Neodiprion lecontei: one gene and its partners. The protein of the gene in region 1 binds, or shares a complex with, the protein of each later gene. Links are inferred from orthologs where the notes say so. Each region holds a gene or a part of one and is shown on either strand. Other genes may lie near its edges.

Evidence for each region.
Region 2: protein Red (region 1) and microfibrillar-associated protein 1 share a complex: the UniProt entries of both Homo sapiens proteins name them as parts of the spliceosome B complex. The link is inferred for Neodiprion lecontei from reciprocal best matches to the Homo sapiens genes IK and MFAP1.
Region 3: protein Red (region 1) and zinc finger matrin-type protein 2 share a complex: the UniProt entries of both Homo sapiens proteins name them as parts of the spliceosome B complex. The link is inferred for Neodiprion lecontei from reciprocal best matches to the Homo sapiens genes IK and ZMAT2.

What each region holds. Positions count from the first base shown.
Region 1 is NC_060262.1:33,328,098-33,339,710, forward strand, and holds protein Red, read left to right. Parts: upstream 1-3,857; 5' UTR 3,858-4,139; exon of another isoform or gene 4,140-4,147; intron 4,148-4,230; 5' UTR 4,231-4,278; intron 4,279-4,428; 5' UTR 4,429-4,515; coding exon 4,516-6,066; 3' UTR 6,067-7,275; downstream 7,276-11,613. Other genes in the region: uncharacterized protein LOC107219618, read right to left, coding at 1-1,480, 1,584-1,964, 2,138-2,293, 2,424-2,596, 2,876-3,317; vanin-like protein 1, read right to left, coding at 7,276-8,616, 8,731-8,844; uncharacterized protein LOC107219612, read right to left, coding at 9,109-9,197, 9,626-9,711. UniProt on the Homo sapiens protein: Involved in pre-mRNA splicing as a component of the spliceosome. Auxiliary spliceosomal protein that regulates selection of alternative splice sites in a small set of target pre-mRNA species. Required for normal mitotic cell cycle progression.
Region 2 is NC_060266.1:18,253,670-18,264,745, forward strand, and holds microfibrillar-associated protein 1, read left to right. Parts: upstream 1-4,382; 5' UTR 4,383-4,554; coding exon 4,555-4,648; intron 4,649-4,792; coding exon 4,793-5,472; intron 5,473-5,714; coding exon 5,715-5,884; intron 5,885-6,289; coding exon 6,290-6,725; 3' UTR 6,726-7,381; downstream 7,382-11,076. UniProt on the Homo sapiens protein: Involved in pre-mRNA splicing as a component of the spliceosome.
Region 3 is NC_060265.1:7,534,865-7,544,572, forward strand, and holds zinc finger matrin-type protein 2, read left to right. Parts: upstream 1-1,670; 5' UTR 1,671-1,798; coding exon 1,799-1,810; intron 1,811-2,019; coding exon 2,020-2,240; intron 2,241-2,327; coding exon 2,328-2,401; intron 2,402-2,535; coding exon 2,536-2,681; intron 2,682-2,739; coding exon 2,740-2,883; 3' UTR 2,884-3,529; downstream 3,530-9,708. Other genes in the region: adenosine kinase, read left to right, coding at 47-220, 334-604, 811-1,080, 1,205-1,417. UniProt on the Homo sapiens protein: Involved in pre-mRNA splicing as a component of the spliceosome.

The DNA of each region.
Region 1 (11,613 bases):
CGTTCTGTACAAGTCTTACCATGGGTCCATCTTCCCTTACAGTTTTCTTGGACTCGCTTTTAATTTTCTCATTGTATTTCGGAAGATTATTCTGAATTAATCCAAAGATTTCTTCACAACTTTCATTACCCATTGGCGGATTCTCAATTTCCAAATTTTCATTTTTGTTCAGAGTTCCCAAATCGTCAAAATTTGTTTGTATTGATAGATTCTGTATAGTTTCGTCCGAGACAAAATCACAGTTCTGGTCTTGCGTCCCAAGTGTTTCTATTTCAAAAAAGTCAATCAAATTATCTTTGTTACTTTGTGCCAGGTAAAAGATTTTCTCCCCCCTGTTATGCACAAAACTTTTTTCGCCACTTTTATCGTGATTAACATTTTTCGATAAATTTTGTACTTCCTCTTCAATATCCTCCGTTCCTGTCCGCTTTCCAATCATTTCGGGAATATCAGATCCCTCTGATAGCGTGTTTTCCGTTAACTCCAAGATACGTTGACCATTCTCTAATTGGACTAATTTCAACAGTGAATCTGATATAGGCTCGTTTGGTGTTATTTTTGAATTTTCGTGGATACTCTCCTCTGAAATTTTTCCTATTTCGCAAGATTCTACCACATTTTCTGAGCAATTTGTGATCAGTAGCTCATAGAATTGTTCTTCGTTGTCTGTTTTCACCAATCTCAAAGTTGGTTCTTGATTGTCAGAGGATTTAGTGATTACCGTATTAACGTTATCCATATGATTTTTGAATAAGTCTTCAAACATATTCTGTGCATGTAAAGTGGTTTGTAAATTACCATCTTCGCGTTGTCCTTTATCAGAGTTTTCTTCATTCAAGTACAGCACAGAGTCTTGAATTTCTAGTACTTTCATTCCTTTTGTAACCGAACTTGTGTCTAATTCTTGTCTATGACTTGGTTCTGAACAGTTTAAATTTATATTTTCAAATAACACAGAATCTAACAATTTATTTGGATTTCGTTTAACTCCAGAAATTTTTTTACTACAATTTTTATTTCCAACCAGATGATGCTTCTGTACGCATTCACTTTCTCTAAGCTTCAAAGTATGTGTCTCTTGAAGCTCGGCATGCAAAGTAGAATTTTCGATCGCCTCTAAGTCATGTTTAATATTTTGTAATTTTTCTGGCATTATTTCAGTACCAATATTCCCGAGATCTCCACTTTTATTCAAAAATGCTAGACCGTCCTTTTTTAACGTGTGTACATAAATTATATTTTGGGTAGTATTTTTTGATGACGCATCTTGCTTTTCGGCTAGTTCAGGTTCATTCACATCAGGTATCTCAATTTCTTTCCAACAATTACTTATCATCTCAGATACAGCGGCTTCATTGTCACAGTCTCGAGATCTTATATTATCAGTTTGCAAAGCACTTTCGGCCGCTAGTTGCATCAAGTGTTCATGCAAAAAATGGTTTGCTGTATCTACTACTTGTTCCGTATTCATGTTTGCCAGCTGTAAACAATTAGATTTGATATGAGTTTGTTAAGGTTTAATGTAAGTAAGATAGCAAAATATAGTGTAACAAAAGTAATTGTAATTACGTATATGTTTATACCTGTTCAGTAGTAACATAAACGATTGTTTCTTTAGTTCGCTTATCCTCTTCCCGGTTGCTGGGACATGTAAGAATAGTCGGTTTGAATTTGTAATCAGGTTCATGGTTACTTGAATTCTGTATCGTATTCATTTTCGAGATACCCTTGGCTCTAGGAATTCTTTCCGAACAAGAATCTCTCGAACCTTGGTCAACAACCTCAAGTTTTGTAACAAAACTTTGTTCCTCTGTAGATAAATTTGATATAATTTTTTCTTGGTTTCTGGCCTTCTCAGAGAATTCTTTATCAGACACAATTTTCTCAGATATCATTTCATTTGCACCAGATAATTTTGGTTTATCACATCTGTGTTCTTTGATTTCGTCCATCTTTTGAAATACCTAAAATATAAATATATATATATTGAATTGGGACTGAGAAGTAGTTAATACGAAAAAATGTTTACATAATGATTTTTGTCGATATTTCAAAGACACATTGCAAATGACAGAAAGAATTAAGTATCCAAAATTGGCCAAAGAAACAAGCCGTGTAGAATTGCAAATTCTCTCACCTGATTACAACTTTTGCACTCCAATATATTTATGCCTTGATGCATACTCTCGTGAACTTTTAATAGCTCAACGAATTGAAAACTGTCCCCACAAATTGTACAGTAATGTTTGCGTTTAACAATTTTTCCATGATCCTGCTGACAACTTCCAGTAAACTGTAAATAAAAAAATTTTTCATTCATATTTGCGCTTAATAAGACGTATGATTAATAATTTGGCATATTGATCTAAGAAATAGTTGCAGCGTGTGCATGATTCTAAATTGTGAAGCAGGGCGATACTTACTCCGTGCGATTTCTTCATGTGTAGTTTAAGACCATTTCTAGTTTTATACTGTTTGTCACAAAAACAACAGTCCATACTGTCATCTCCTCTTTTGTGAATAGCTTTGTGTCTGGTTAATGTATTGATCTGTGTAAATCGCTTGCCACAAATGGTGCACGGGTACGGCTTCACTCCTATAATCCATTGGTTCTAATTATTATTTAATTTTACATATATTTATGTCAATTGTTTTAGAACCCTGTCATGTTTAGCAGGAGTATCATGTTAATTAAAATGTTTTCTTTTCATATAAACTGCGCCAAAAACGGTCTTTTCAGTTTGACGCAACATTGCGATAAAAAATAGTAAAAGTATCCAAAAAGAAGCAAAACGACGTCTTAGCCTTTTACTGCGATAGTTTCTCAATCCAGTTGTGAAAAAAAGTCTAAAGTGAGATAAAGTTCCGTTTTTACCTGAGTGAGTTCTGCCATGCCTAATTAAATTGGAAACATGATTGAATTCTCTTCCGCAAACTTCGCAAATGCATCTATTAGTACCTAAATGAATGTTTAAGTGGGTTTTCAAATCTGTTGACCTGAAAAATCCTTTTCCACATATCTGACATACTTGAGATCTTTCCTGGCTATGCACATTTCTTTTGTGTTTGTCCAACTGTGACATTCTGTCAAATACCAAATCACATAAATCACATTTGAACGGTCTGATCAAATCGACAGTCAAAACCTTGCTCTTTCCATGTTGATTGACTTTCGTCTGTTCTTCGTTATCTGTTGAATTTCCGTACATTGAACCATCTGATGGCAACTCATAATCAGCAAGTTCTTTTTCATTCTCGAACATGTTGTTGCACATAGAACAGACGTGTTCTCCCTCTGTACTCGTGATGTAACGCATGGATTCACGACGAAAAGGATCTTGTTCAGATTTGTGGACACTATTCCCTTTCGAATCATCCTCAATCTATTCATTAGAAGACAAGCTTTCGTAATCGTAAGAATCTCTGTGGCAAGCTGAAATCATCTTGGCTTTTTTGATCAGTATGTATTTTAATCGACGTTCATGTTGTTGTCGATATGTCAGCTGTAAGGAAATATAAATATATCAATTGAAGCCAAGCAAACCAATAATGAATTGTTTTCAGCACCGTTTACTGCCTAGAATGAACAGGCAGTACGCTAGGTAAAGTATATACAGAAAATTTACAATCAGTCATGTGACTTTACAAATGGGTTGGAAGCGTATGTATAAGAAGAATGAATTTGTAAGCTGTTACTGAATATCGTTTAATGTCTTCTCTCATACTCACAACGCGTTGCAGGTGTCCGCGATGGACGAGAATATCTCATTCAATAATTAAAATGAGTGACGCTACAAATTCCTTCTCAATAGGGATGATAAAATTGCGAGTTTGACGTTTGACGGGTGTGAAGTTAGGTTGGGCTAAAGTGTCATGGCGCCAGTTACGCGACACGGTTTCGTTTGAGTCCGTGCACTTGAACTTCGCAAACGTTGAACTGTATTCGAAATCATCGAAGCGTTTATTATTTTGGTGTGAAAAAATTTGGACCAGTGAATCCTACAGGTTATAAAATCTGTTACTCATTAATTTCAAATCGTATACGTTGCACAGAGGCGTACGTGTCAGAACAGCGACCGACATAACCTTAAAACGAGAGGAATAAGTCGATTGTTTGTTACTCCGGCTGCTTGTGAGACGTAAGGGCGTATGTAAATGCACTGATAAATTGACTTACATATTTGTTACGTATCAATAGCAATTTGCATCAGTAAATTTTACAATTTGCAGTTGTGCGAACATTTGCTCTCTTGTATTTTCAGTTGCTAGCAAATGCAGGTAATTTTGTAAAATCGAATTATATAATTAACCTCAAAGTCAACAACAAACTACTAGATAGATTGTTTTGCTGATGATCATTAATTAAATTATCAAAAGTGGTTTTAAAAATTTTTGACTGCGTTAATGGGGTTCAATCATTTATTACAGTTGCTGATGAGTAGACTACCAAGCGGAGCTGCTGGCGAGTATCTAACTCAAGAATAATCTATTTCCTGCGCATTTCTATTGACAAAAATGCCGGACACAATGGAGGAGGATATGGGGCTTTCGGTGAGATTGACCAATGATGATTTTAGGCGTCTCTTAATGACGCCGAGGGCTTCGGTGCCGTCGTCAACTCCGGCGTCGGTTCCTGGAACAATGCGAGACACCGCAGCTAAGACGGCACAAACTCCCGTAATAGCGGGAGGAAGTCGAGCAGAGTTGAGGCGAAAAAAGAAGAGTTTTTATGCCAAGCTTAAGAAACAGGAGGAGGATAAAATGGCAGAACTAGCTGAGAAGTACAGAGACAGAGCGAGGGAGAGACGAGATGGAACTAATGCTGATTATCAGTCCGAAGATCCAATGAATACAGCGAGTGCCTACCGAGCCGTAGCGCCAGATGTTAAATCTGGTATGGATGCAGCAGAAAGAAGGAGGCAGATGATACAACAGTCGAAGTTCTTGGGTGGAGATATGGAGCACACTCATTTGGTGAAAGGGTTGGATTACGCGTTGCTGCAGAAGGTAAGGAGTGAGATAGAGGCCAAGGAACAAGAGCAGGAAATTGAAATGGAAAAGCTGGTGAAGCCAAAGAAAGATAAAGAGAAGGACAAGAAAGAGGTGGAAAAAAAAGAGGAGGAAATGCAATTCAAGACAAAGATAGGACGTAATATACACAAAACATTGGCTATTATGCGATCCAAACATGTTGAACGCAACGAATTGTATTGCCCTGGTCGAATGGCATACGTCATTGAGCTAGATGATGAAAATGCGGATGGTGACATACCAACGACGCTGATCAGGAGCAAGGCCGACGTCCCGACGATAGACACAACGCCAACTTTGACGACCAACGATATTGTCATAAATAAACTAGCCCAGATTTTGTCCTACTTGCGTCAGGGCAGTCGACATAATAAGAAAGGAAAGAAGAACCGTGAAGGCAAATCACGTGTAGAGGAACTCAACGAAATTGATACAGCACAGAGGCCTCAAGACGACAGCATTTATGGAGATATCGGCGACTACGTTCCTTCGTCAAGCAGAAAGGAGGCTGTTCATTCAAAGGACAAGAAAAAGGGTTCATATTTTGACAAACCAGTTGAGACGTCGACAGACGATGCAGCTAACGCTCCACAGCTACCGCCAGTAATAGCACAGAGCATTGAAAATGCACCTAAGAAGGGTATGCTGTTGAATAAACTTGCTGCCGAACCTGAAGGCTATGCCGAGTGTTATCCAGGACTTGACGAGATGCAGGATGCTATTGACGATTCCGACGACGAAGTGGACTACACTAAAATGGACCTGGGAAACAAGAAAGGGCCAATTGGACGGTGGGATTTTGACACTCCCGAGGAATACAGCGAGTACATGAACAACAAGGAGGCTTTGCCCAAGGCTGCCTTCCAGTATGGAGTAAAAATGGCAGATGGAAGAAGAACTAGGAAGTATAATAAGGAGAAGAATGAGAAAGCAGAGTTGGACAGAGAATGGCAGAAAATACAGAACATCATGAATAAGAGAAAACCAACAGGAGGATCGGAAGCAGTGCCAGAGTTCAAAGTCCCAAGATATTGAATAGATGAGATATCGATTCAGGATACGCAAGTTTAACCGAGGGGGAAAGTTATTGCCACCGCTAGGTCAGTCAACTCAATTTTTACATTCTTGCTACTCGTACTATTCATCATGACGAAAATCATTGAAGGTATTTTTATCTGGCTTATCAGAGAATTGGAAGACCAAGAAAAAATTTGCAAAATATGATTTACAATTTGGAATTTAGGTTCAATGTCAATAAGACGATAAATTGTGACAAGAATCGTTCAAAAATAGATTTCTCAGGATTGATTCTGTAGGGCTCAACTTTATCCACGTTCTCGTCCACAGATCATTTTATACTTTTCCGATTTTTACTGAATTCTTATATCGTCATCTAAGATAACTTTGCTGGATGTGGCAAAACAAATATGTACACGAAATGGCCAGGCTTGCCTATTCTCCGTTATCTGATGTCTGACCTCAGCAATGAGTTCAGTGACAATTAATGTTAGATAGTGTTCGTAAAAAATAGTGAATTATCTTAACAAGGTGAAATAAAATATTGTACTTGCGCAGAGTGTGATTTATTGACGCAGAGTTGAACAGTTGGAAGTGATATATTTAACACTTAAATATGAACTGCATATAGTTATAAGGAAATTTTATCTGGTTCACAGTATTTCTCGACTCGAAGGGGGTAACAGAATGCGAGGCGAGGTGTTTGAAAGGAAACTTTGCTATTGAGCTAGCCATAGACTTTTATCGAAATAGACATTTAAATCACTAAATTCATTGCATGATTAACAAATACAGGTCGTAATTACTAGTTACATAGTAAGCTTATGTAATATCTTAAAATAAAATATGGAATATACGGCTCCAACGGTAATTGCTCTTTGTCTCGCGAGTTGCGAATTTTCCATTGAATCTTCTATCGCATAGAATCTATCTTATTGTAGTCAAGTAATTTCAGTAACTGAGTCATTTAGTGACATCATTAACTAGCAGACAGACGATGATAGAATTTTTTTTTATACGTGAAGCATATAGAGACATAAGGTAAAAACAGTGAAATAGTACAAACTATCTTTAATTTTGATTAGATCATAAGTCACGAACTTATCATACACGCTATGCATATTAAAAATATACATATATACTTAATATTATTGGATATTTCTGCGAGGTAATTATTTACATACATAATACCCGTCGCAACTTTCCGGATACAAAAAGTTACTCTTCTCAATACTTAGTTAAAATGTGCAAGGTAATTAAGACTGCAAAAACCGTAGTCAGGACCACTGAAAAGCGTGAGAATGGAATCGCGGATGATACAACGCTTTCGGTGAATGCCAGGCCATCGGCCGAGAAATTTCTACCATAAATAGCAAAAGTTAACAAACTGCTTGTTTTAGTGGTCAAAACGTGGGTGACATTCGCTAAAGTAGAACCAGATACGGTAGTTTTCCTGTAGGTGAAATCGCTGATGTTTAATGGAAGCATATCCGTGGTCAATGAGTCTGGCATCTGCATCGTGTCTGAGGTGGTAGAAAAATTACCGGATACGACGATTTCGTTAAAGACAGTCGGCTGCAAGACGGTGTCCGTAGCGGCAAATCTCAGCCCGCAGCTGCTCGCCGTATCATTTCTACAAGAAATAATACTGCAGATTTGCACACCGGTGGTAGCCACGCCCGAATGTGTTCTCACACCGTTGAATACTGCGATGCGGTATCTGTAATAATTTGCACTCGAATTGACGCTCTCCGCATCGAACGTCCCGTTGACGTAAAAGGAACAGCAAAGCTGCCGATCGCATATTTCGAGCCAACTGGCGGTCGTGCCGTTGCTCAAGGACAAAACGCTCGTCGTGTAAGCCGTCAGAATATCCTGGATCACCGCTTGCTGAGGGACCGTCGTTATACCGACCAGAGTCGTGATTTCGGTGTTACTGAACTCGTAGATCAGCGGATAGGTCGTGGAGGTGACGTTGTTTCGGGCCCCGTCGATCACCTTTGGTACTCTTGCCACCAAAAGAGCGTTCTTCGCACTCTCCGAGAAAAGGGCGACCAATTTTCCGTTGGTTCCAGCGTATATTCCACTGCCTCCACTGCCGGTAGCTGGCATGTTGAACCCTGACGCCAGAAGGTTGACGTTGTTCGTGTAGGACCAGGCCGTTTGGGTCTGAATGGCGGTCAGATACGGCATCTCGGAGAACCAGTGTACCGAGAAAATGATGTCGGTGACGTTATAGTCGTTGATCAGAGTCAGAGTTGGCGTTCTGAAGAGGATGTCGAAACAGATTATTTGTCCAAATGTAACGTTGAAATCCGTGGTAAATGTCGCGATGTCTGGGGTCGAAGTTATGTTGAATCCCAGCTCGCCGAAGAGGTTGTACTTTCTGTATCTTGATACGATTGCTCCTGTTCGGTCAAACGCTACGTTTGTGTTGTAGTAGAAGTAACCGTCGCTGGGACAGGGACGAGACGACGTTCCTGTCGTGGTGCAGTTCTCTTTCTCGCTCAAGTTCACCACGACGTAAATTGAGTTATTCTTGGCAGCGCATGAGATCAAACGTAAAGCCTAGGAAGAAAATTCCGACATTAGGTATACTGACTAACACCTGTATTGTAGTATGTTTAAAGATGTCTGACATTCTTTGTATTGCCGATGAATCCAATCGTTCTCTTTACAAACCTCCATTACGACAGTCGACGAATTATCACAGGGTATGTCTGTTCCTGGGTCTGGTACAAAAGAGCTGTGTGAAGGATATAAAGTTCTGTCCGTGTCGGAGGAATTGAGTCCCATTGTCAAAGAGCTTTCTGGAAATACGACGATGTCCGTGCTCTGAAAGAATTCAATGAATATAAGGAATTCATTTGGGTAAACATATTTTTCAAGCGTTATAGAAATATACTCTTTTACAAAGAATTCTGAACTCGAAGAACGTTAGAAATTTTACCACTGCTATTTGATTTTTCGATGAGAGACAAAAAGTTTTTCTTTTATTTAAATCTACTCACGTAATTTGCAGCTCTCTTAATAATTGTAACATAATTTTGAGCATTAGCGTTAGCGATTGTCGTCCCGTTTGTTCCATTTGTAACCGGGTAGTATTCGACAACTGCACCTATGTAAGAAGTTGTGTCTGCGGCCAAAACCTGTACATGACGAATAGAAGGGTATTAGGCGAACGATCGATAATCAAATTATGGATAAATGACTAATTATTGAATGTAGTTGGTATTTTTTCAAATTACCGACATAATAGATTCAACATGAATTATCGATAGATTATTCTACTACTTATGGATGCTACATTCGTTAAGTTACCAGCTAGTAAATTTCTTTCTCAATAGTGTTTTTGAACGGTTTTGTTACATAAATTATTTAATTCACATACAGGCCCGATTGCACCGCGGTAAAGTGAAGTCACGCCGATCTCATATACGAATTGCATCTGGCGTTATCATATTCTTTTCAATTGATAAGTAAATTCGAAGTGAACGCGGCATGCGGTAGTGCAATAGAGTCTCGTAGTGTTCGACCAAAAGATGGCTCGTATTTCAATATGTGAGTTGATACATACCTCGGAGGTCAGTTGAATAGAAATCGCCAACGCGACAGCAACGATTAATAGTTTCGAGAGACGCATGGTTATCAATATGAAGACAGCTGTAATATAATTTTTACTTATATAAACCAGGTTCCCCTTAGATATTGTTATCTAAAATAAACAGCGATTCTCTTCGATAACAGCAATACAGCTAACTGTTATCGCAACCTGGGTTAAGCGTATTCAATTATCGTGACTAGATATTTGTATAGTAATGGGTTTTTCACTTATTCACTATTTCAGTGCAGCAAAAAGCATAATGAATTGTTTCATAGGCGTAATCAGAATTTTCAATTTTTACCGGACGGCGAAGTGTTGCGCTTATAAACCTGACTTACAATAATGTCGAGTCATTCGGCGTACTTACCGAATTTCATATATCACTGACTATTCGTGAAAACTTATACCGGCATTGTCATAAAAAATAACAATATGAAAATTTACGCGGTATTTTCGAAATACGATGTCAGTTTTTTTTTTTCAATCAAATCGCGTAACTAGCGCAACACACCTGTTATTTTTTCAACTCCACAGTCACGGAATGTACTTTAATTTTCAACTTTCACAACCGCTTTTACATACCTAGGCGAGTTTAATAAGTAGGTAGACACACTACGTTGTACGCAACGTCAGTTCTGCTCCGCAATCGTTCTGTAAACTGCGTCTGAGACATGCGAATGTTATTGACGATAGAAAACTGCGCAGTTGCGTTGCATTTGACAGACAAAAATATTTGAATTTGTTTGCATCGTCGTATGAAATAAATTTCTGCAGTTGCTTCGCAAAGTGATTACTAAAGAATCGTCCAATTTCATTACTCAAATTAAGAACATGAAGAATTTGACTAACGGTAAATTTCAATTTACATTCACAGCCGATTGTTGACGGTCGAGTAGACGTAAAATTGAAACAGTGAAATCTTATGTAAAATCGACTTATCACATTATCATTTTATTTCACTAACCCACAAATAAATAGTGTATATGGGGCATTCCACGCTAATTCGACCTGGCTTTTACCCTTGACCTCTTAGATTTGGCATGCGATTTTTTCTATGATTGTTCTCACTTTTAAAGGTTGTAACAGTTTCAAAAAGCTGCCAAAGCAGTGACTACGGGACTCAGTAATAGGTAGTTCCGCAGAGGGAGGGGGGGGGGGCCTTCACCTAAGCGGTTATATGATATATGTGTGATCAATCAATCGAGAAGTGTAAGCTATAGACGACGGATGAGCGGTCGATCGTTATCAGAGTGCGCTCAAAAAAGACGTTTTACGGTGATCACTATATCTTTGAACTGGATCCTCAGAAATTGAAAAACCCAACAGATTTCGTTAAAGTAATGTTAAATCTAGTAATCAATCGAAGGAATAAGCGAAATAAATTTTTTTGACAAAATGGCGGTTTTTCAAAAAAAAAATCGATTTTTGACCAAAGTTTCGGTTTTAAATTGCTTATAAAAAAAAAATATTTATCGGTGAGCAAAAATCTTCGATTAATTACTAAAAAAAATATTTAAGAAGCTCGTGTTAAAATTTGAGATCAATCGGTTCAGCCGTTTTCGAGTAATGTTGGTCACCGACTTTGTAAACACCATTTTGAGAAAAACGCGTTTAAAGTTTGGGGAGAGAAAAGTAAAAATTTACCTTTCAGGGATAAAAAAAACAATAACACACTGCTGCTTCAAGCATCTAAATATATTAGAAGGGAACATTTACGATGGGCAGGTGCATAAAAGGGACAGCGTTCCAGGTCAGCCCTTCCGCTCCGGCCTTGCACTTTCAAGCATTCTGAAACGCCTTTTCGAATTTGCGTGTAACTTCAAAAATATTCACCGGAACGATAAGAAATTTGCTGTGTGTATTCTTAAATATATGTACATTAAGAAAATAAAATTTAAAAAAAAATCGATTTTTTGAAAATTCTAACTGTATATAACTCCTTAAACAATACGGAGAATTGA
Region 2 (11,076 bases), on another chromosome or scaffold:
TTGTTAGCAAAGTTGGGTTCACAAGTCGGTATAATAGCCCAGTCAACATAGGTCTGAATAAAAAATATTCGGGATATGGGTAAATTTTTGTGCACAGGGGTTTTCGACCCACAGAAACTCAATTCTGAACTCATTTTGAGTTGCATGGCCAGTGTTTCAAGAAAACAGCAAAATTTTACCATTTTTTCATTTTCCTCAAAAACTGCTATCGATAGGTGAAAAAGATTTGACCAAATTAAGAAACAATATATTATTTCACCAAAATTCCCCAGATGCCGTCGATAAGTAGCATTTCTTTTTTCCAAATCGGTTAATCCGATTTCGTTCCCGACATATGAGGACATAATTCGTTGTTGAATTTTCCGCTCTACGCGACGGTCAAGTTATTTTCCATCTATCGATAGCAGTTTTTGAAGAAAACGTAAAAAACGTCGAATTCTGCCGTTTCTTCCAAACGCCGGCTATGCAGCACAAGAATGACTTGAAATTTGACCCCCTGAGGGTTGGAAACTCCTACACACAAAAATGCAGCTATATCCCGAATGCTTCGATTGCTTAGGCACCGAAGGGGGGGGGGGGGGGGGGGGAGAGGTGGAGTTCGACTGAGTCTTGTCTCAAAGGAGATACGCGTACCGATGCGTACTACGAAGAGGTAAGAAGAGGGAGAGATATTTAGCCGTCTCAGCTTCTTCGCTTCTGCTCGCTCTGTACTCCGATTCGACTGAACTCGGCCCGCAGTTTTGATAACAAAATATGAATAGCATTGCTGTAATTTGGAGAGGTGTATGTATCTGTAAGATTACTGATAGAAAAAAAATTTAAACCGGTTTTTAACAGGTATCTGGAAAACGTTCGGACAGATTTTGTTTAAACCCTGCAGCCGATTTGAAAATTAGATAGAAATTTTACATAAATGCATTTTTTTTTTTTGCAGGTGCTATCAGAACCTCAATTGTTAAGCAACTGAAATTTTGAGATTCTTCGACAAAACGCCTTAGCAGTAACCTTTCGTGGCTACAGATAGGCGATAAAATATCTCGTTGGCACATTTGAAGAGGTGATTTGGAAAATGTTATAATATATATTTAAAAAGTGTCTGTATTGTGAAAATTATTCTGCAATTTTTTCTTAATTGTTCCTTGAATATCAAATCGCACAAATGTCATCATTCAAGACCCCCACCGCTGCGGTTTGCAGGGACGAATTCAGACGAACCATATATATAGTATATATATAGGAAAAGTCTTACGGAGTATTTTCTCACGCTAATAACGAACTGATCTCGAGATTTGTAGCAATAAATCGTAACTCTACAAAATAATAGAGGTCCCTGACAACGGTGCAAGTACAACACGGTGCTAGCTGAACAGAAAATGAGATTTTCAAATCTACAGCAGGTATTATTACGCATATCATTATACTCAGGTATGTATAAAGGTATGACTGATATTCTCTCATCGTCAACAGTCATAATAACTAACAATGAGTTATTATATATAGAACGGATTGTCATTCGGATTGTGGTAGCGGTCACCACGCCGAAACTCTCACCCCGCCCCCCCCCCTTTCGCTACGGCAACCGGCGGCGCATCCTCAAGGTCTAAAATGGGAATGCCAACTACATATTTACAAACATCCGCATGTCAATCGGACGGAGAATAATATACCGAGAGATTATGTTGAAAAGGGATGATCTGTACATTACGTTGGCCATACTTGGCTGCCCCGAGTCGCGCTTACACTGCTACCAACATGGAAATTGCTAACAATAAATTCCTAAGGTTCCGGTCGTAATAGAAAATAAAGTATAATATGTTGGAAATTAATATGGGGATCAAATGTTAGATCCGAAAGAATAAGAAGATGAACGTTAACACCGATATTTGTGGAATGACACTGAGAATGTGAAATTCAGCATTTTCGTTGGTAGAAGAATCGTTATGAAAGTAGCGAATCGGCAACGTTGGCACACAACATGATCACACGTGAGAATTTGTGGGAAGTGGACGAATTGATTCTATTCTTGATATAAATCTCTTCTTGATTGTTACGAAACAAGGAATTCTATTGATTAGCTAAGAAAACCGTACGTACAAGATCTTTAAAAATCAGGTTGAAGTTCGTCACGTGATAGCAATGTAGTATGAAAAACAATCGAGCTGAAGGTATGCTGTAGTCTGTCTTTACCGATCCTGTTAATTTATTACTTATTTTAGCGGCAATCAGAACCATGTGTCGTTGAAGCGAAAAATTCGCATATAGCGCAATTCTAAACATAAATATGCAAAAACAGTTTTTGTTCTACGCAACAATAATAAGTCTACCAGAAACTGTATTCTTCGAAAATGCAATTTATGCTAATGACTTGCAGGCATAACACGCTTTGCAAACAGTTTGCTATATCATTTTTCAGTCTTAATATGTGAGAGCAACTAATTTGATCTTAATTGACAAGAATGATCTATAAATACCAGCATTCACTAGGGAATTTTCCACAAAAGGTTGGCTGCCTAGCTAAATTCATTCATACTGCCAACCGAAATAAACGTGCGTCTTCAAAATAATCTCGTGTAAAAAACATGGAATTCGTGGAGATGTCTCATCTTTGACGCCATTCATCGTTTTTAATGTGCGGTCAATTGATATTGTCACTATTAACAATCCACAGGGGAGAGCAGGATGAAAAATTACTCACATTCGAAGTTGGAAATGACACCTAACCAAGCCGAAAAATTTGCGTTCCTGGATTTTTGTTGTTGTATACAATGATGTTATTTACCTTCCCTCCTTGTGTGTTGATTTTGTTTTTTTTATCCAAATCCAGACTGGAACAGGGCACTCTACATCGATCCCAATGTCATCACCTGACGCACTTACAAAAGTAATTACACACACTATTTCTCACAATGATACCACACGTTAATGAAAAACCTATTTGGACTTAAATTTTTCCTAAGTTTGATTTCGAATTAAATTCTCAGTCTCTTGTTCTGTATACAGCCTTGCTTCTTTTCCCTTTTTTTCCTACCTTTCTAGTTTTCACGTCGTCGCGACTGTTGACACAGTTTTAAACAAGGCAGATTAGAAAAACGAGGGAGAAAAAGCGAAGAAGAAACACAAGAGAAAGAGAGAAAAACAAAATATATGTTTATTGCAGGTACATACGTATTTATTTGAAATTTTGGCACACACAATATTTAGCAGGAAATCAGGTAAACCTGTGCGGCAGAACGCGTGCGCGCGTCACAATAATTTTAAATAACGAAACACGTTCGATCGAAGACAACTCTAATTGTAAATTATTCGTAACAACTGGATCGTTGCGCGAACCACGCACAGTTTTCGAGTTCGTGCGATGCTTCCTTACGCTGCGTTAGCGCGGCTTCGATGGACCTTTTGCCTTTCGGCTTTACGCTTGCTACCTCTTCTCGGACTGGTGCTACTAGTCGTCGTCGTCGTCGTCTTCCATTCCGACCCATTCCAAACCCTCTCCTCTCCGCTCAGCTCCGCCCCCTCATCCCGCCGCACCGCCGGCAGCCCTTCCCTTCCCTTCGACGGCTAGTTTCTCACGACGTAACTGAACGACTTCCCCTACCCGCTATAATATCTTGTCAGCCGCCGAGCCTCATCGTCAGAAACTTTCGCTCGCCCCCTTTCCACTACTATCAAACCGCTGAGTAACGAAAAACGATCGTGGTTCGGGAGGCTGTGAGAACTACCCGCACTATCTTTGGATTAATTCTCGAACTTGATCCGTACCAATTGATAAGTTCGAACACTCCTCGAACGCTGTTTGCAACTACATTATTTTTATTCTTCGACAGCTTAGACGCTTCAATGCCTCCGCTGCTTCGCTAACTGAGCACATGTCTGTTGGTAGTCGCTGAATTTCTTGTGTTCAATAGAGCCATAGAAGATTTGTTTACTTCGATGTTTCTCACACAATTTGTGTCAAAATGAGCCTTCTAATATGTATTCGAATTCTCGAAACGTGTCCGATGCGTTGGATGTTTGATAACACTGAATTTTATTCATTGCTGATTCAAATGATTTATCAAATATCAGTCGATGGTGCATTAGAAATGTTGATCAGATGAATTGCTTACCTACAATAGTCGATTGATCAGCGAATTATCTCCTCTGTCGGTAACAATGGTAACGGCACAACTGATATTGGACTGGGCACGTTGCTGGGTGTATTTGATGCGATTCCAAACATATCCTATGAGCACTGAACATTCCCTGCAAGTGAAACAGAATTCACTAATTATAAAAAACATTAGTGCAAAAGAGATAGAAAAATCTGCCAGTGCTGTCAACATCAAAACCAACCACCAGCGATGAGATCTGGATATCACAAGGTTACCAACCAAACAGCTGAACCAAATGACAAGGCTGGTAAAATGGCGTTTTGTTGTTGAAGCTGGTTGAAGCAGAGATGAGTAGGGAGTGAAGTCAAGTCCATGTTATTGACTCGCACGCCGTGAGCTGCTGTGAATTGCGATCATACGACAGCATTTGTAGATGACCGGTTAAACAAACAATTTCTATACAATGATGGATTATTTTGTGACTAATAACTCGTTGGCACCAGCACCCATGGGTATACAAAGTACCGCGGGTGCAGTGCCAGTTAAAAATGACAAAGGTGAGCTGATTTATTATGTGAGACACCTGTTTACTGTACTCCCAATAAGTTGCATACGTTTTAAAGCTTACTTTATTATGAAATTTAGGCATAAAGTTTTGTACAATTGAAGATATGCATTCAATTTTCGTTCAATATTTTCAGGCGAATTGTCGATGAAAAAGGTTAAGGTCCATCGTTATGTGTCCGGCAAACGTCCCGATTATGCGCCTATGGCGAGTTCGGATGAAGAGTCCGAGGATGAAGATTTCATGGAAAAGCGAACACTCAAACCTCTCGAGGAATCAGAGACTGTAACTGATATCCCTGTTCCGTCACACGGTAAACTGAGGGACGAGGATGATCCTAGGCTGAGGCGTTTAACTAGAATCGAGAAGCACAAGGAGGTCGATACAGAAATTCGTGTTGAAAGGCATCGGCACATTCACGAACCTGAGGTATTGGAGACTGAGCCTGAGCGAACGCGCGAAAGGATAAAATTGGAGAGCTCAGATTCCTCGGAGGATGAAGATTTGTCCGATTCTGAAATTGAAAGACGTCGAGACGCATTGAAACAGCGAGTTTTATCTAAGAAGGAAGCTGACCAGGAAATGTTTCATGAAGAAGATGAGGAGAAGCTCCGAACCAACAGCTCCGAAGATAGCTCAGAGTATGAAGAATACACCGATTCTGAGGAAGAAACTGGACCGAGATTGAAACCTGTTTTCGTCCGGAAAAAGGATAGGATCACTGTTATGGAAAAAGAGAAGGAAGCTATGAAACAAAAGCAGGCCGAAATAGAAGCCAAGAAAATGGCAGAGGAAAGAAAAAGGCAGACATTGAGGGTAATCCTTTTGGAAACTGATATTCATTCAATCTTGAATCCTTTCTAAACATGTTTTCACCCCTTATCAAGGTATTAAGGAAAGAGAAACTTTATATGTTGCGATTTCTTTCTTGTTCACTAACGACAAGCTTCACTTACCAACTTTTCGTCCAAGTAGACATTAAACAATCGAGCTAAACTAGACTACACACTTTGAAAATTGTGAATCTTTCGGCTGATGTTGATTTTGGTTATTTTTAGATGGTAGAAGACGCTATACGAAAAGAAACCCAAACTGGCAAGACTATAGTAGATCAGGAAGGAAACATAAATGATGTTTGCACCGACGATGAGAACGACGAAGTGGAATATGAGGCATGGAAACTACGCGAGTTGAAGAGAATAAAACGAGACAGAGAGGAACGAGAACAGTACGTAAACTCAAGAATATTTTCCACTCAAATCATTCTTTTAAAGATATCTTTGGGAATTCGTTTAATTTGAAACTGAAAAAACCATACTGCTAAAAATTTCGAACAAACGGAACATAAAAATGCCTGGGTTTTCAAAAAAGTCTAACTACCAATAAGGTTGAATTTAGTAACATTAACGCGTCGAAATATTGATAAAGAAGTACTATTTTGTAATGTTTAGATGACTAAAGAAGTTTTCGTGAAATACAAGAATGTTTCACCTCATTACGGTTCACTGAATTTTTGACAGTCCCAAAGTTGGGATATTTTTCCTAAATATGCATCGCGACATTATTGTTACAAATTTCAGTCTCATGACTACCACTGTAATCCAACTCAACCCTATATTTTTCTATCCAACAGATTGGAAAAGGAACGGTTAGAGATAGAGCGACTTCGCAATATGACAGAAGAAGAGCGTCGTCAGGAACTGCGTCTAAACCCAAAATTGGTAACGAACAAAGCAGCGAAAGGAAAGTACAAGTTTTTGCAGAAGTACTACCATCGCGGTGCATTCTATTTGGACAAAGACGATACAATTTTCAAACGAGATTTCTCTGGTGCAACGTTGGAAGATCATTTCGACAAAACTATATTGCCGAAAGTAATGCAAGTGAAAAACTTTGGGCGTAGCGGTAGAACCAAGTACACACATTTGGTAGATCAAGACACAACGCAGTTTGATTCACCATGGATTTCTGAGACCGCTCAAAACTTAAAATTCCACAATAACCAAGCTGCTGGAATGAAACAAGTTTTCGATAAACCATCGCTAAAAAAACGAGGCAATGAAAATTGATATGGTGCAGGATGAATTGTGTCTTTACAATGTTGGGAAATGAGACTAGGACCATTTACAAATGTTCAGTTTCACTTTACCTGTTGCGGACAATTCCGTTTGGGTCTTTAAAATTGAGGAACCCACTACGGGAAGGAAGAAATTACTTATTCATAACTCGGGTTATTTTTGTATAACTGATATCAATTTTACTCTTTAATTCATTCAATACAAAAATTTGACAATAATATATTTCTGGTTCACATTTAAAGCCCCAGTCATTCATCATAATTCTGGGTGAAAGATAAGTGTGGTAAAAAGGCGTTGAATAAATTTATAGGCATTTTCATTTTGAAGTAAAAATTACCCACAAAATAACTTTCACCTCGAAAATTATGAGCCAATGAAATTGTGATTTCAAATCATCGGTGACTAACAACTAGTCTGCATGTGTACATACAAAAGCCGATCGTTACTCTGGATATAGACGTAATTCAATACTGGAATGCCTACAATGTAATCGTAGGAAATAAATATCTGTGTTAGGCTAATAGAATGAATAGATAACTAACCAACTTCATTAATATCTTGAAGATGTATGATTTTTACAGTTTAAATTTTTTTAAGTTACTTCAACTGTACAGTTGAAAACAATAAAAAAACTATTTTGTTCCACAGAAGTTTCAGTTGTTATTACACAAAGATTCAACAAGCAAACATACATGTTTGAATTTTTTCGATTTGGAGTTCTTGTTTCCAATAATTTGTAGGTTTGATATCGATGGAAGATCGACATAACAACTTACATCAGTTTTTTTTGAAACTATAGTTGAAAGTAAAAAAAACCTGTCTTACTTATCTAAATACATGATTTTGAAACGTACATTTGTTTATTTAGTTTGTGCAAACATAAAGCTGTTTAGAAATAAATTCAAACAATTAATTGAAAAAATCTGAAAATAAATCTATTTTTGAATTTGAAGTACGAAACTCTCTATGTAATTGAAATTTAAATATACCGGGACAATCTCTTGAAACTATACATATAATGCGCATGCGCGAGTTTTATCGGCTGCTCGGGCAGGTTGGCCACTCCGAGTTTCAGCTGTCAAACTCTGTTTCTGGCGGTGTTGTAGTTCATACGAATTTTTGAGGTTAGAATCTCAAACAGTCGAGGTAATGACTCGGAAAGTTGATGATAATGCTCTTTGAAAATTGGCTTTATTCGACTAAAATGAGAAATCTGTTTAAATGTTGGGTGCTTGGAAGAAACGCAGCAGGTAGGTGCGAACACTTTATTTAATCATTTTTATTATTTCGTACATTAGAAATAACAGTGGAATTTTTATCTATCAACAGGTGATACGACTAAAATAATTACATCTCTGATATTCACTGTTATCTGCCAATTCAATTTGTCAGACGTACAAAGATCATCGCCACTTTCAAGCAACTAAGCAACTTTCTCACTCTTTTGTGATTTCAGGCGGTAATATTGAATTTTATCACTTTCGAAAATGAGACATTAAACCGAGCGTTCAAGAAATTTAAATATCTCACTATCTGTAACGGAACTGTGAATCTTTTTTTTCTTGAAAATAGTTCAACAAAATTTACGAATAGTCGATAGTCAATGTATTTTTTCCGATTAACAAATTATTGCTACTACTATTTAAAATTTCCGAATGATTATCAGAATTTATTTCGCAAATTTTCAATGATGTTCGATCAAATAAATGAAGGGAACCTAATACTCAAATTGAAAATTCAAGTAATATTAGATTTATTAAAATGATTTCTGTATTTCATGTAAGTGCGGTTCGCAACAAAGAAAATCTAATCGAAAGCGTAGAACTCAGGAACGTAAATCACATCCTGTGACACAAGTTGAAAATCAAGTTTCTCAGAATGCGCCTTAATGTTACAATTAGCTTCAAGGACAATCATGTTTTAGAGTAATGTCAATTTTAAAGTAATGTAAAGATTGTGTCCCTTGTTCCATCAAAATAAATGAATATCTAATTTTTAACGAAGTTTATGAAGATTTTTTTCCAAATAATGTAATCCGATACAATATCTTGTTCATAGTCCTCCGAACATCACCTTCTAACAAGGATATTTGGAAAGAGTCCCTTTGTTGCAGAAACCATTATAAAATTCTTGGTTTTCAATTCGTGCTACTGAATAACTCTGTGTTTCAGGTTCCATTTTCAATCTCAAAATGGGATTTTTTTTGCTCCAGATAATGCTAACATGAAATGCAGAAATAATTGCGGTACATGGAGATTCACAAGCTTTCAGTCTTAGCGTAGGACCCTATAAAGAGTGCAAAATTGAATTTGGTTTCAAGTGATCGTGCAACTAGCTAGCCAGATGACACCGTCTACTAAGATTAATTTAAAGACATTTTTAATTGAACTTATTTAACAGTTCTAGATTCAGATTGATTCAGTTTGCCTAGCAAAATTCAACCCTACAATCTAATTGAGGACTTGAAAAACTATTTATCTGAATTCAATGCCAAAGAGAGTAAAAGTAAGCTTCAAAATAAGATACCAAATCAAATGGTATAAAGTTTGAAAAACAATGCTGGTCAATAATAATGCTTGAATTACAATGGTGCACAGAATGATTCCTCGGTAGAATGAATTGGCAGCAACGGTTAAGTAACAAACTTGTCGCTATTGGCTCGATCAAAGTAAAATGATGGGATAGTCAGCCATTATGATCTGTAGTATATCCCGCTCTTCAATTTTGCCTCAAGTGATGTTAAGAAGGTGGCGATGGCCTGATAAAATTCACTCTGGCACCTGATGTCTGACGAAACAACCAGGTTCGATGGTTCTAATGATTGCACCGCTCGAGAAACCAGGATCCTTGCCACCTAAACGTTTTGACCATCAGGTAAGGCATAATTTTCCTCGTGTTAATTAAAGTTTAAACTTCGAGCCTGCTGAAAAAAAAACCAATTTTATCATTGAATCCATGTTAAAATATTGTCATTGTCAAAGATCACGTAATTGGAAATTTACTTACATGCTTCCGTGCCTGACAAATTTAGTCCCGCTTTGACAATGAATTATTTCGTACCTGAAAATATTAGAAGCTATTATTATCAAACAGGATCTTTCGGTATTTTTGAAGGCAAAAGAAACGGCAGCACTTTTTGAAAGGCCACCAATGGCCAGACGAGGGGTGATCAGAAGAGTGGAGATTGGTCTTCCAGTGTTATCGGACGATTGTCTTGTAAGTTATTGTTTGTTTCCTAATTTTTCATTAATAGCATGATTTACACTGTAATATTAACTGTTGTTCTTTTTCTCTTTTTATTCTTGGATTCTGGTGAACCCTCTTTGTTAACGGAACATTGATTGTTGTACAATGGAGCTGCAAAAACTTTGTCAACTAATCAATGATGTCGGCGAGGTTTTTTGTGAGTATTGCGTCGGGTACGTTTTCTGTTAATTGCTACTCTTTGTCCTCCTAAGCTTCGTGTTTAAGATGAATAATTTCTTTATTCCTTGTTACTCATCTCTTTTATTTGTTTCATGTTCATCGGCACTGATTACTGACTTCTGGAGCACTGCACCGTAACGAATCTACTCTGGAAATACCTTCTACTGGGTCTCAACCATTCATTTATTTTTAATTTTATGTAAACAAAGAATCTGTTCACAATAAACATTGTTTTTACTTACCTACCTCTGTTTGTCCAGATTCCGACTTGTTAATGACATTTCACGTTGAATATTAGATTTCTTCTTTCAATAAATAACACCCAATTTCTGTATCATTTGATATTTGCTTTTCCGTTAAATTCTTTATTGCGTCGGTTGAATATCTTCCGAAATCAACCACGGTATTGCTGAACGATACTATTCTTCTTAGACAATTCACGCTACGTAAAAATAAACAGCAGCATAACCTCAATCCACGGCTTTACGCGCGAGAGAATTACAGCTTTTGTTTCATTTAGTGTACGTTGGCGCCTTGCTCAGCAGATGAAAACATCACCGCGGCGCGATTTCACCGACCAATGAGATTAAATTATTTGGCGCATGCGCGTTATATGTATAGTTTCAAGAGATTGTCCCGGTATAAAACGATCATTATAAAGCTAAATAAATCTAATAAAATTTGAATTCTCAATAGCACTCATGCCTGTAGTATACTATAAAACCAAATGTTAAGCATAGTCGCATAGTAACCTTGAAACGGCTTGCACTGTGACATGTTGTAAGAAAAATTCTAAAAACTTATGGGTTCGTTAAGCTATAAATTCAAGCGGGTATCGTCGAGCTGAATACAAATAACAAAAGTTCGAACAAAAAACATTATCCTCACACAATACCCATTTAGTATCAAAAAAATT
Region 3 (9,708 bases), on another chromosome or scaffold:
TAGAAATAACTCTTCGAATATTCAGTATTTAATTATTAAATTACAGATCAGAGCAAAATATCAGTCCTGGAGGCTGTGCTCAGAATACAATCAGAGTTATTCAATGGTTGTGTGGTGGACAGAGTGGACCGCAACTGGGATTGTTCTGTGGAGGACTTGGAAATGATTCTCGGGGGAAAATACTCCAAGACATGGTTCGAGCAATAGGAATTGATGCTCGGTATTTTGTTTATCTATGGCATACGACCAGACTTAAATTTATGAATTGCAGAATACATCTAACAGTCTGATTTATACTAAGGTTCTAATGCCTGATTCTTAATTTCCTCCTAGCTATGCAATTCACCCTGATCTACCAACTGGTGTTTGCGTATCAATGGTAAAGAGACCATGGCGGAGCCTCGTAGCAAATTTAGGTGCTGCTAGTGTGTATACTTTGGATAATCTGGCGCAGCATGATTTGCCGTTAAATTCACTGAAAATAATTTATATCGAAGGATTCTTTATAACGCATAGTTTTGACGTTGCTTTGGAGTTGGTGAAATTGGCTCGAGATAAGGGTATTACTGTAGCATTCAATATCAGTGGCGAATATATCTTCCAGGTTACGTTTCTATACTTGAATAATGTGAAAAATTCTATTAATTTTGTTGCTAACCTACTAACAATACATTTTATTCCATTGGAAATCTTTTCGACAAAGCCTAAATTAACTTGGAACTTGTTGTAAAGAGTTTTGTACTGATATAAAATTACAAAAAATATAGTATGTACTATTCTCAAGACATTCAAACTTCTATATTCTTTTAGGAGCATCAAGTTGCCATTTGTGATATGGTTGGTTTGTCCGGAATTGTATTTGGTAATGCCAGAGAGATGACAGCTTTGGCTCGCGTATTAAATCTCCAGTTCAACAATGTTCAGGAGATCCCATTCCTTCTAAACAATTTGAAAAGGGTCACAGTTGGTGCATCTAGTAAGAATGATGGCAACTGGTTGTCAGATGAGGGTATCATTGTGATGACTCAAGGTGGAAAATCTCCTGCCATCGTCGTTTGGGGAGAGGGTGAATCTGCACAGGTACAAATTGAGGATTTTAATCCTGAATGATAACTGAAAGAATTTGCAATAGCGATGTAATAAATTTCAATCTTAGAATAGTGAAATTACAGGTAAATGAATACAGCTTGAGTTTAATATCTAGATAACGTTTCAGGTTCTACCCGAAATTCCTGAAAACCCTGTACTGGATACAACAGGTGCGGGTGACTCATTGGTGGCTGGTTTTCTGCTCGGTGCTTTAGTTGGACGTAGTCCAAAGGCATGCTTGAAATTGGGCTGTAAAGTAGCAAGCATGATCGTTACTAGAGTTGGCGTAACCTTTCCAGAATCAATACCGGCCCATTTACTACAATAAATATACAATACAAAATTGGAATCTCTTCAAAGCTATTTGAACTTTCATCTAACAAAATAAATAGACCTAGTTAATTTAAAAATTTTTGACTTCATTTTTAAATTAATTGCCTGTGTGTCAGTCGGTAAAAGACCGTGGTCGGTAATAATTCCGTGATACATACCTCGTGCTCTAAGGGGGTATATCACTTGGTGTTTTTCTTTTATCAACGCAGTTATGAGTTTATCTCTCGTTCTGTAGATGGCGTTACAACTAAATTGGCTTTAGCTATACTAGTGGAAAGTGAGGAAACATCAAACAGAAGTGAACAGAAGTTTGGGTAGGAGCCTTAGCTGCAGGATTATTTACGTGCGTAATAAACGTTCAGCACTTATCGTCACAATGTCCTCTACGGTGAGTAAAATACAAATATTTAATAATAAAACGCAGAAAATTAATCGTACACACATTTTTGATGGTATTCTCTTACAATGAACGATCGTAACCTCAAAATTCGACAAACAACCTACGAAGGGTATGATAGTTTGTTAAAATTGTGAACTTTACTGTATTTTGATGTAGTATATCGCTTCATGGAATATTCCATAATTTTTTTATTTCAGCGTCCTGACGATCATCGTCGGAAGTGGAATAGGGAGGAATATGAACGTATAGCGCTACAAAGGCTTCAAGATGAGATTGCCGAAGAGGACTTGGGTATTCCTAAACAGCCAGCGGTTAAAAGAGAGCTGCTCAAACAGCGTGATTACAAGGTTGATCTTGAATCAAAACTTGGAAAAAGTGTTGTCATCAATAAAAATACACCATCATCGCAGACTGGAGGGTAAATTTTTCAAATCTATTTGAAAACTTTTGGCGATTTATCACAGTAAATATTTTTAGTTCTTAACATGCTTTTTCCTTTCTATAGATATTATTGCAATGTCTGCGACTGTGTCGTTAAAGACTCCATCAACTTTTTGGATCACATTAATGGCACGAAACGTAAGTTTACAAATTTTCATTTATTATGATAAAAGATCTTCTCAATTTGTCGACCTGCATTTTAATCAACATATGTCCATTATTCCATCTTATTTCCCTTCATGCGTAACTAATAATGTAACTCCCACTTACAGATCAACGTAACTTGGGAATGTCCATGAAAATTGAACGCTCATCATTGGATCAAGTTAAAGCGAGGTTCGCTCACAACAAAAAGAAATTGGAAGAAAAAAAGAAAGATTACGACCTTGAACAGAGAGTAAAGGAATTGAAAGAAGAGGTAATTATTGTTTTGAAAAAGTCGTTATCGGTCAATAACCGATTATGTTTGTTCTCAGGAAGAAAAAATCAAGGAATATCGAAAAGAGAAGAGGAAAGATCGGAAGCGGAAGTTAGACGAGGCCAATGAGGACGACGCAGGACCTTCTGATGAAATGGCTGCAGTTATGGGATTTTCTGGCTTTGGCTCAAAAAAAAAGTGAGATAAAAATAGTGAAATTGATATGTTTCATTCTCTACTTGATGCGCGTGTAATGAACATGTTCCCAAAGTGTACACGGACGACTAAGATGAGTTTGACATCTTCAAGTGCAATTGTGATAACTCAATTGTCATGTTTCTGTTGGATGCTCATAGGATGAAAATCTGCGTTTGTTTGACCAGGTAAATTACATTGATTATAAACTATAATTTCTCATGAAGTGAATTATTCGTATTCTTCTTAATTAAAAAATTAAATAACAGATATATGAATAACTGCATGTCGTATATTTTCGGAAGTATGAACTGCGAGAAAGAAGCAACATTTATCGAATGTACGTATTATAATTTTATTTGCAGTGAACATTGTCGGTAACAAATTAATTCATAAAACGTGTTTCACTAGAAAGTATACCGTACAGTGAAAATATAGAATAAATACAAATTAATGATATTTAACAAAATGAAAGTAAGTGAATAATAATTTTACATGAATAAGTTAACCTGTTATAAAGCAAATGAGGATATGAAAAAACAAAGATTAAGATTTTGATTGAATATCAAACATACTGCCACATTAGTTTTAATTGGGATGGAAAGCTTTCACCTTATAAACTTTGTCATATTCGCAAGAATAATTGGACAACATTTTTTCTGGACTTAAAGTCTTTTCTACCCATGTTTCACTGTTTATATCATGACGTCTACGTTTTCGCGGTATTTCATTGGTACCTAGATAGTCGTTGCCAGTCGTAGCATCTATTTTATCTTGATTATCTAACCATTCTCTCACAAATGCTTGTACATTTTTCGAAACACTTGAAAAACTGTTGGTGGCAGAAAATCTGCTGGTACTGTGGTCTGAAATATTTGAGTTACAGTCACTTGTTTCAGGAAATGGATCTATCGATAAATGCTGGATTTTTGGGAAACTGTTTTGAGGTATGTTAATCGTTGTAGATGCTTGACACTTTTCTTCAGATGTGTTACAAGCTCTGATCACTTCTGTGTCAGTAAAATTCTGATTTTGATCAGAAACATAGGGTCGCTGAAGATGTTGCTTTGTTAAGCTGAATGCAGCAATATCTTCAAGTATTGCAGGTTGCTTCGGCAAGTAAAAATTGCCTAGGTGTTTTTTTTCACCGACAAAATTTTTAGATTCGTACTTGGGACTGTAGGTATAGTTCAACTTAACAGGTGACCTGTTTTCTAGTTCTGATTTTTGCTCTTTTATAACCGAGTTGCAGATCCTGGATGAAAATTTCATTGTATTTTCATCTTTCTTTCGAATCAAGGAACGCTTTCTGTGTGATCGCAAATACATGGCCTGTGTGATCTCAAAACTAGAGTCCTTAACTTCCGTGAAAGGCTGACTCTCCTGTTCAAAACTCGTTGTGGAATTTTTAGATGATTTGATATCAAATTCAATAGAAGTAAGTGAAATAGAACTGATGTTAGACAGCTGGGACCCGATGTGTTCTGAGTCAGTGCTTAACGATTCATTAGGTGGCTTGTACAAGTGAAAACTTGTACATCTGACATTATCCACCTCTGCATATTTGGTAACAGAATTTTTCTCAATATTCTTGAATAAATCACAAAGTTTGAGATTCTCATCTTCACTTTGATTTATTTTGGCACTTTTATAAAAGGTGGATTTATGATTAGTCAGACTTGGCATTAAACCAGGTTCATTTTCTATGAATTTGTTTTTACTTGTATTTTTCTCCACGTGTTCAATTTTACGTTCTATCAATGCTGGTACAAAATTTTCTTTTTTCGTTTGATTATCACTAGCACATTCTGACAGAGCGACCTTCGCATGAGAAGGTAATGAATAGTTTCCGAGTTTAGGTAACTCAGTAAAATGGCTTAATTCTTGTGTAGAATCATCTGAGTCACTTAGGCCATCTGAAAACATTCTTGAAATTGCATTACTGTAATCAGATTTGTTGTAGATCTTACTTTTCTCGTTCTTTGCAAATAACCATATCGAATTTTCGTTACTAGTAGTTTTTTGCGACTGTTGCTTTTTCAGAGCAGTTAAGGACGATGACGTTGACTTTGAATTTGCACCATTTGATGCTAAAAAACTAGTGTGAGCGGGCAGACTGCAATTTTTCATGGCTTTCCCACAGTACATTTGCAAACTCTCGTTTATGCCTTTATAGTTACTGCCCATTTCCCATCTATCGATGCTGCCAACAAACTTTTTACTCAAATTGTCTTTTACAATTGATGATACAGTCGTCTTTTTCTTACTCTCGAATGTCTTGGGCATTTTTCGAAAATATCCTTAATTACTTTCCGTCTGTTTTGTTACCGGTACCATTCAGTATTGTTTGATGATTTATATCTGTTGACATAACACGTATGTAAAAAATTAAGTCATATTGGCTTTTACAATGCACAGTTAATAATTGGTTGGAATATTTTGTCGGTGTCCTTTCAATGTTAATTCACAATTGATAATAATAAAATTCATTGACGTTTGAACTTATTTTATATATATTCTAAATTCATATACACTTATGTGGCGTTAGAAATTACGAAGACGAAATAAAATTTCCATATTTGTGCACTTATTAATGAATCTTGGTCCCGGATATGTGTGTATGCACGCGCGCACACACACACACACACATATATATATACGGCATGCGAGATATGCCTCGCGTGGTATGTATTGGTATCAATAAGTAATGGTATATATAGAAATAAAAATGTTAATGGGTGTACTATTAGGTGAGTTTAGTCAGCGACAACCGTTAGCTTGATCTTTTAGAGATATATCTCACTTTTTGAAATATCGTTGCTTTACTACCCCGCGACTCATATGCCTAACTGGTTGACATATTATAATTACTTACTAGATACATAGATATCGTCAGTTGAAGTTTTGACCGCAATTTAGATCCATGATTCATTATGAAATCAGTTCCTGAAGAGCTTTCAGCTATTAACCTAAGCAACGCGAAGTTGGCTTTGAATTCGATATGTAAGTTTAACTATGTGAGTAATTCAAAATCTGGACGTCCTAGTTACCGATATTCATCTATCGAAATAGTGTGGCAGTAAAAACTGCTCATCAGTATCTGATATTTTATTAAAAAAAAGAATCGCTCTTGTTTCGAAATTCGAATTCGCCCTACTTTTACGTAAACGTTCGCGAAGGTGCAGGTAGACGGCGTAGCAATACATATTTTCGTGGACGAAAAAACAATTGCAGCATGGTACACGCTTCGCGATTGTTACTCCGTAGAGTCCGATACTGGAAGCCAGACTTTTTCCTCTCTAGTCGCGTACAGGAGAAAAATCTCTCGATTATTACCTACTTTGCACGCGAAGTGGCGAAGTTGTATTAATACGGCAGTTAAAATCGGAATTATCGTGATGAAACGAAAGTGTTTGCGCTTCGGTGTGTGTGCGCGGGAGATAGGAGAGGGTGAGAGTTGAGGATATATCGCATCTAGTTGCGGAATGTACGCTCGCGAAGCGGGACTAAGATCGTCGTCTAGCCAAGTTCAGACAGCTCGCAGAGCCGTTTCTCTCGCGTCTGCTGCCTCCTTCGTCCCGACGACGTCGTCGCCCGTGTTCTTCTATTCGACGTGACCTGTGAAGCAGGTTCACCGAGGGCCTGCGATCTTAGATCCCAGCTCATCGTCAGTCGGTTAGGATCCGCCGTGCGCAGGTGTTCTGAATCGTCGACAAACCGTTTGGGCGACGCGACAGCATATTCGTTCGGGAAAGGAGCAAGTGGTTAACATCGTCGAAAACACATCTGCAATCATATCGAAACTGTCCTCGCGAAGGGTGAGAACAAAAGACGATGGCATGCGATAGGAAACACGGAACACGGTTGATCGAACATTTTGCCGATAATAATTGAGCGTCAACAATAACAATTGGGTGGTGTGAGCGGTATTTATCGTCGCCTCAGAGGTTCGGTGAGTGAGAAACATCACATTGGATATTTCGGCGTAATTTGGGGTGATTCTTCGCCGATTTTTTTTAAAACGTTAGCCGAGGATTAATCCAGTGTGAAGTTGCGCGTATCCGTGCGTGAGACGAGTCATATTCGCAGCGCTCGCTTGTTTCCTCGTATTACAATAACACGCTGTCAGTGTATATATGTATGTGTTGCGTGCTCTTTGATTGAGGAACAGATGTGTATACTCGCAACGACAAAGCTGTTGTATTTCATTACTGTATCTGAAACTTGTGAATGAAAGACGTCGCGCGAGTTCTCTATCGTGTTAATCCCATATCAACTGACTTTTCCGTCCGTAATTGCTTCGACAACCTTGACGACCCACCGAACGAGAAGAACATGCCAAGGACATCGACCCTCCAGCCCATCGCGGAATCGAATACTTCGAAAGCGAGTGAGTATATATTACAATTTAATGTAGCATATATTGTACCACGGACGTATTAGATCGAAATTGATCGCCTGCAATGTGCGCAGACTTGCAAAAATCGGTAGAGCTTCTAGCAGTTGTACAAGGTCCAAAATAAAGTCTCTGATTCCGGATTGAAGATGAAGTGAAAACTCTTTCGGCATCGAATCTAATTATCGCCACAGCCAGAGTCGCGTTGGTCAAGATTTAAAAAATCACACGCTGAGCCACAGGCATTGCACTTTTATTTTCATTGGAAAATTTCGTCCGTTACCGGTTCCGCCAATGACTTTTCAAGCGTATAATCAGCTGCGTAGATCCGAGCATTCGCGCTTCTTGGATAGAAAAAAGAATGAAATGCTTAACTAACTATCGATATAATGACGTAGTGGCATCTATCATCAATGACGAGTAAGCTTGACGTTGACTGACAATTAGTTTTCGGCTAACACCATGCCCCGCAGGACTGTTCGTCTGATTGTCGGTAGAACAACCGGGAGATGTTGTTTTGATAATTTGCATTTATTTCTAATTAAAAACTCATCTGCCGCTGTACAATCTGACGTTGCTCATTGTAACCGAATTCATTCCAAGCTTTAAACGAAAGGTTAATTAGCGTTTGGGGATAAAAAAAATGAAATATTAATACCGCAAGCCTCGTATTCACCGAATGCAGGCTATTAGGAAAAAGCCTTTTTTACGACGTATAATTTACCGTCTATAAATCGAACGGCATTCACACGAATATAACCGAATTCTAGACTAATATCTAATGCCTCTCTCTCTCTCTCTTTCTCTCTCAACATACCCGAAGATGACCCGTTGATTTCTCAACTATATGAGTATACTTAAAAACAATAAAAAATAAATATGTTTAAAAAAAAGAAATTCATAGTCGTTAGAAGACGATGTTCAATATCCATATTATATATTTCGGTCAAGTCTCTCGTTCGCTGAATGAGTATTATGTGCATCCTAGAACAGGGTACAGTCTGTACCTGCACTTCTCAAGGAAACATGATAATCCTATTAGTTTCTAGTCGGAAGCGCGTCTGCTCATAGTCTAGTCAATATTTTCCATAACTTGTCGCCTTTTTTCATTTTCTTCGTAACACAGGCTCGCTCATCATACTGATATTACTGCAGGCAGCGTGTTTAGAAAAGCTTGTACTTTTTTCTATCACATATCCGATAGATTCTGTCGGACTTCTGCAAAGAATTATATTTGCAATGTATCTAAGACCGAAGTGAAATTCAAGTATTTATTAATCTTACGGTATAGCCGAAAAATCCCGATCGATATTATTTATAAGATACTATAAACTATGCGAAAAGAGTTTTTTTGGCATTGATTTTATACTTTCGTAAATCACCGACCGTCACGGCGAAAGTCGTTTCAAAGATTCATTAAAATGGCCTGGTAATTTCATATGGGATCAATCTAGGTATATAAACCGTATCTTTTTTAAATTCGTAATCTCATCACATGTCTTCGCTCGTAACATTCGCTCGATTTCGAATCATCGCGTTATTAAGCTCAGTATGCATGTTTTTCTTTTTTTTTTTACGGTCGTTCGTCAAACACCTGGCGTCGTTTGTGTATTCAATAATTATAATTCTTACCCGTACCTAACGTACAGCACTACTGAGACTATTTAACGGGGTGTCGAGATTTCCCTTCTTCCTCTTTGGGTCAGTGTGTTAGATTTTTTCGATCCTTTCGACATGACTGGAATTCAATCACATCAATTCTCTAAATTGTAAAACCGATGAGGATTTTTACGATTACTTGGTACATATCGTAATTCAACTTTCTTCCATAATTCATCTCATCGTTGCAACGTTCTATATATTGATTGTTAATTTGTTTACATCCAGAAAAAATTTACACTCAGTCTGACTGTCCCCAAATTTTCTAATCCAGGATAACGAAAAAGAAATATGTAGGTAGTTTCAGTATTTCGTCCCAGTCAGAATATGCGAATATTATACAAATTAGTAAGATATATTTGACGACAGAGATATTATGTATAAATTTATGGAATCTTCTCTATGTATTTATATGTGTAGAGATGTATTTTTTCAATCACGTTTATCGACTAATAGGTAACCGACTGATCCTTCAAAAGCCTAAGATAAACTAGTCGAGCTAAGCAGGTTTTTTTGACATTTCTCGCATACTCACTGCCATTGGATGTAGGTAATTGGGTATTTATCGAGCAGCGAAACTCATAGCTTTATTTATCTATATCCATTTGTTAGAAACTGAAGATCGATGCTGATTCCTGTCGATCGCTTGTACACGAATCCACAGCATTATGATGCGTCGATGTAGATGCTGTATAAGGTCATAATTATGCGCTCAATATATCGACTCGTTCGGCGCCTGCCGTTAACCGAAAATCCAAAATACTTCGTTATCTGTTC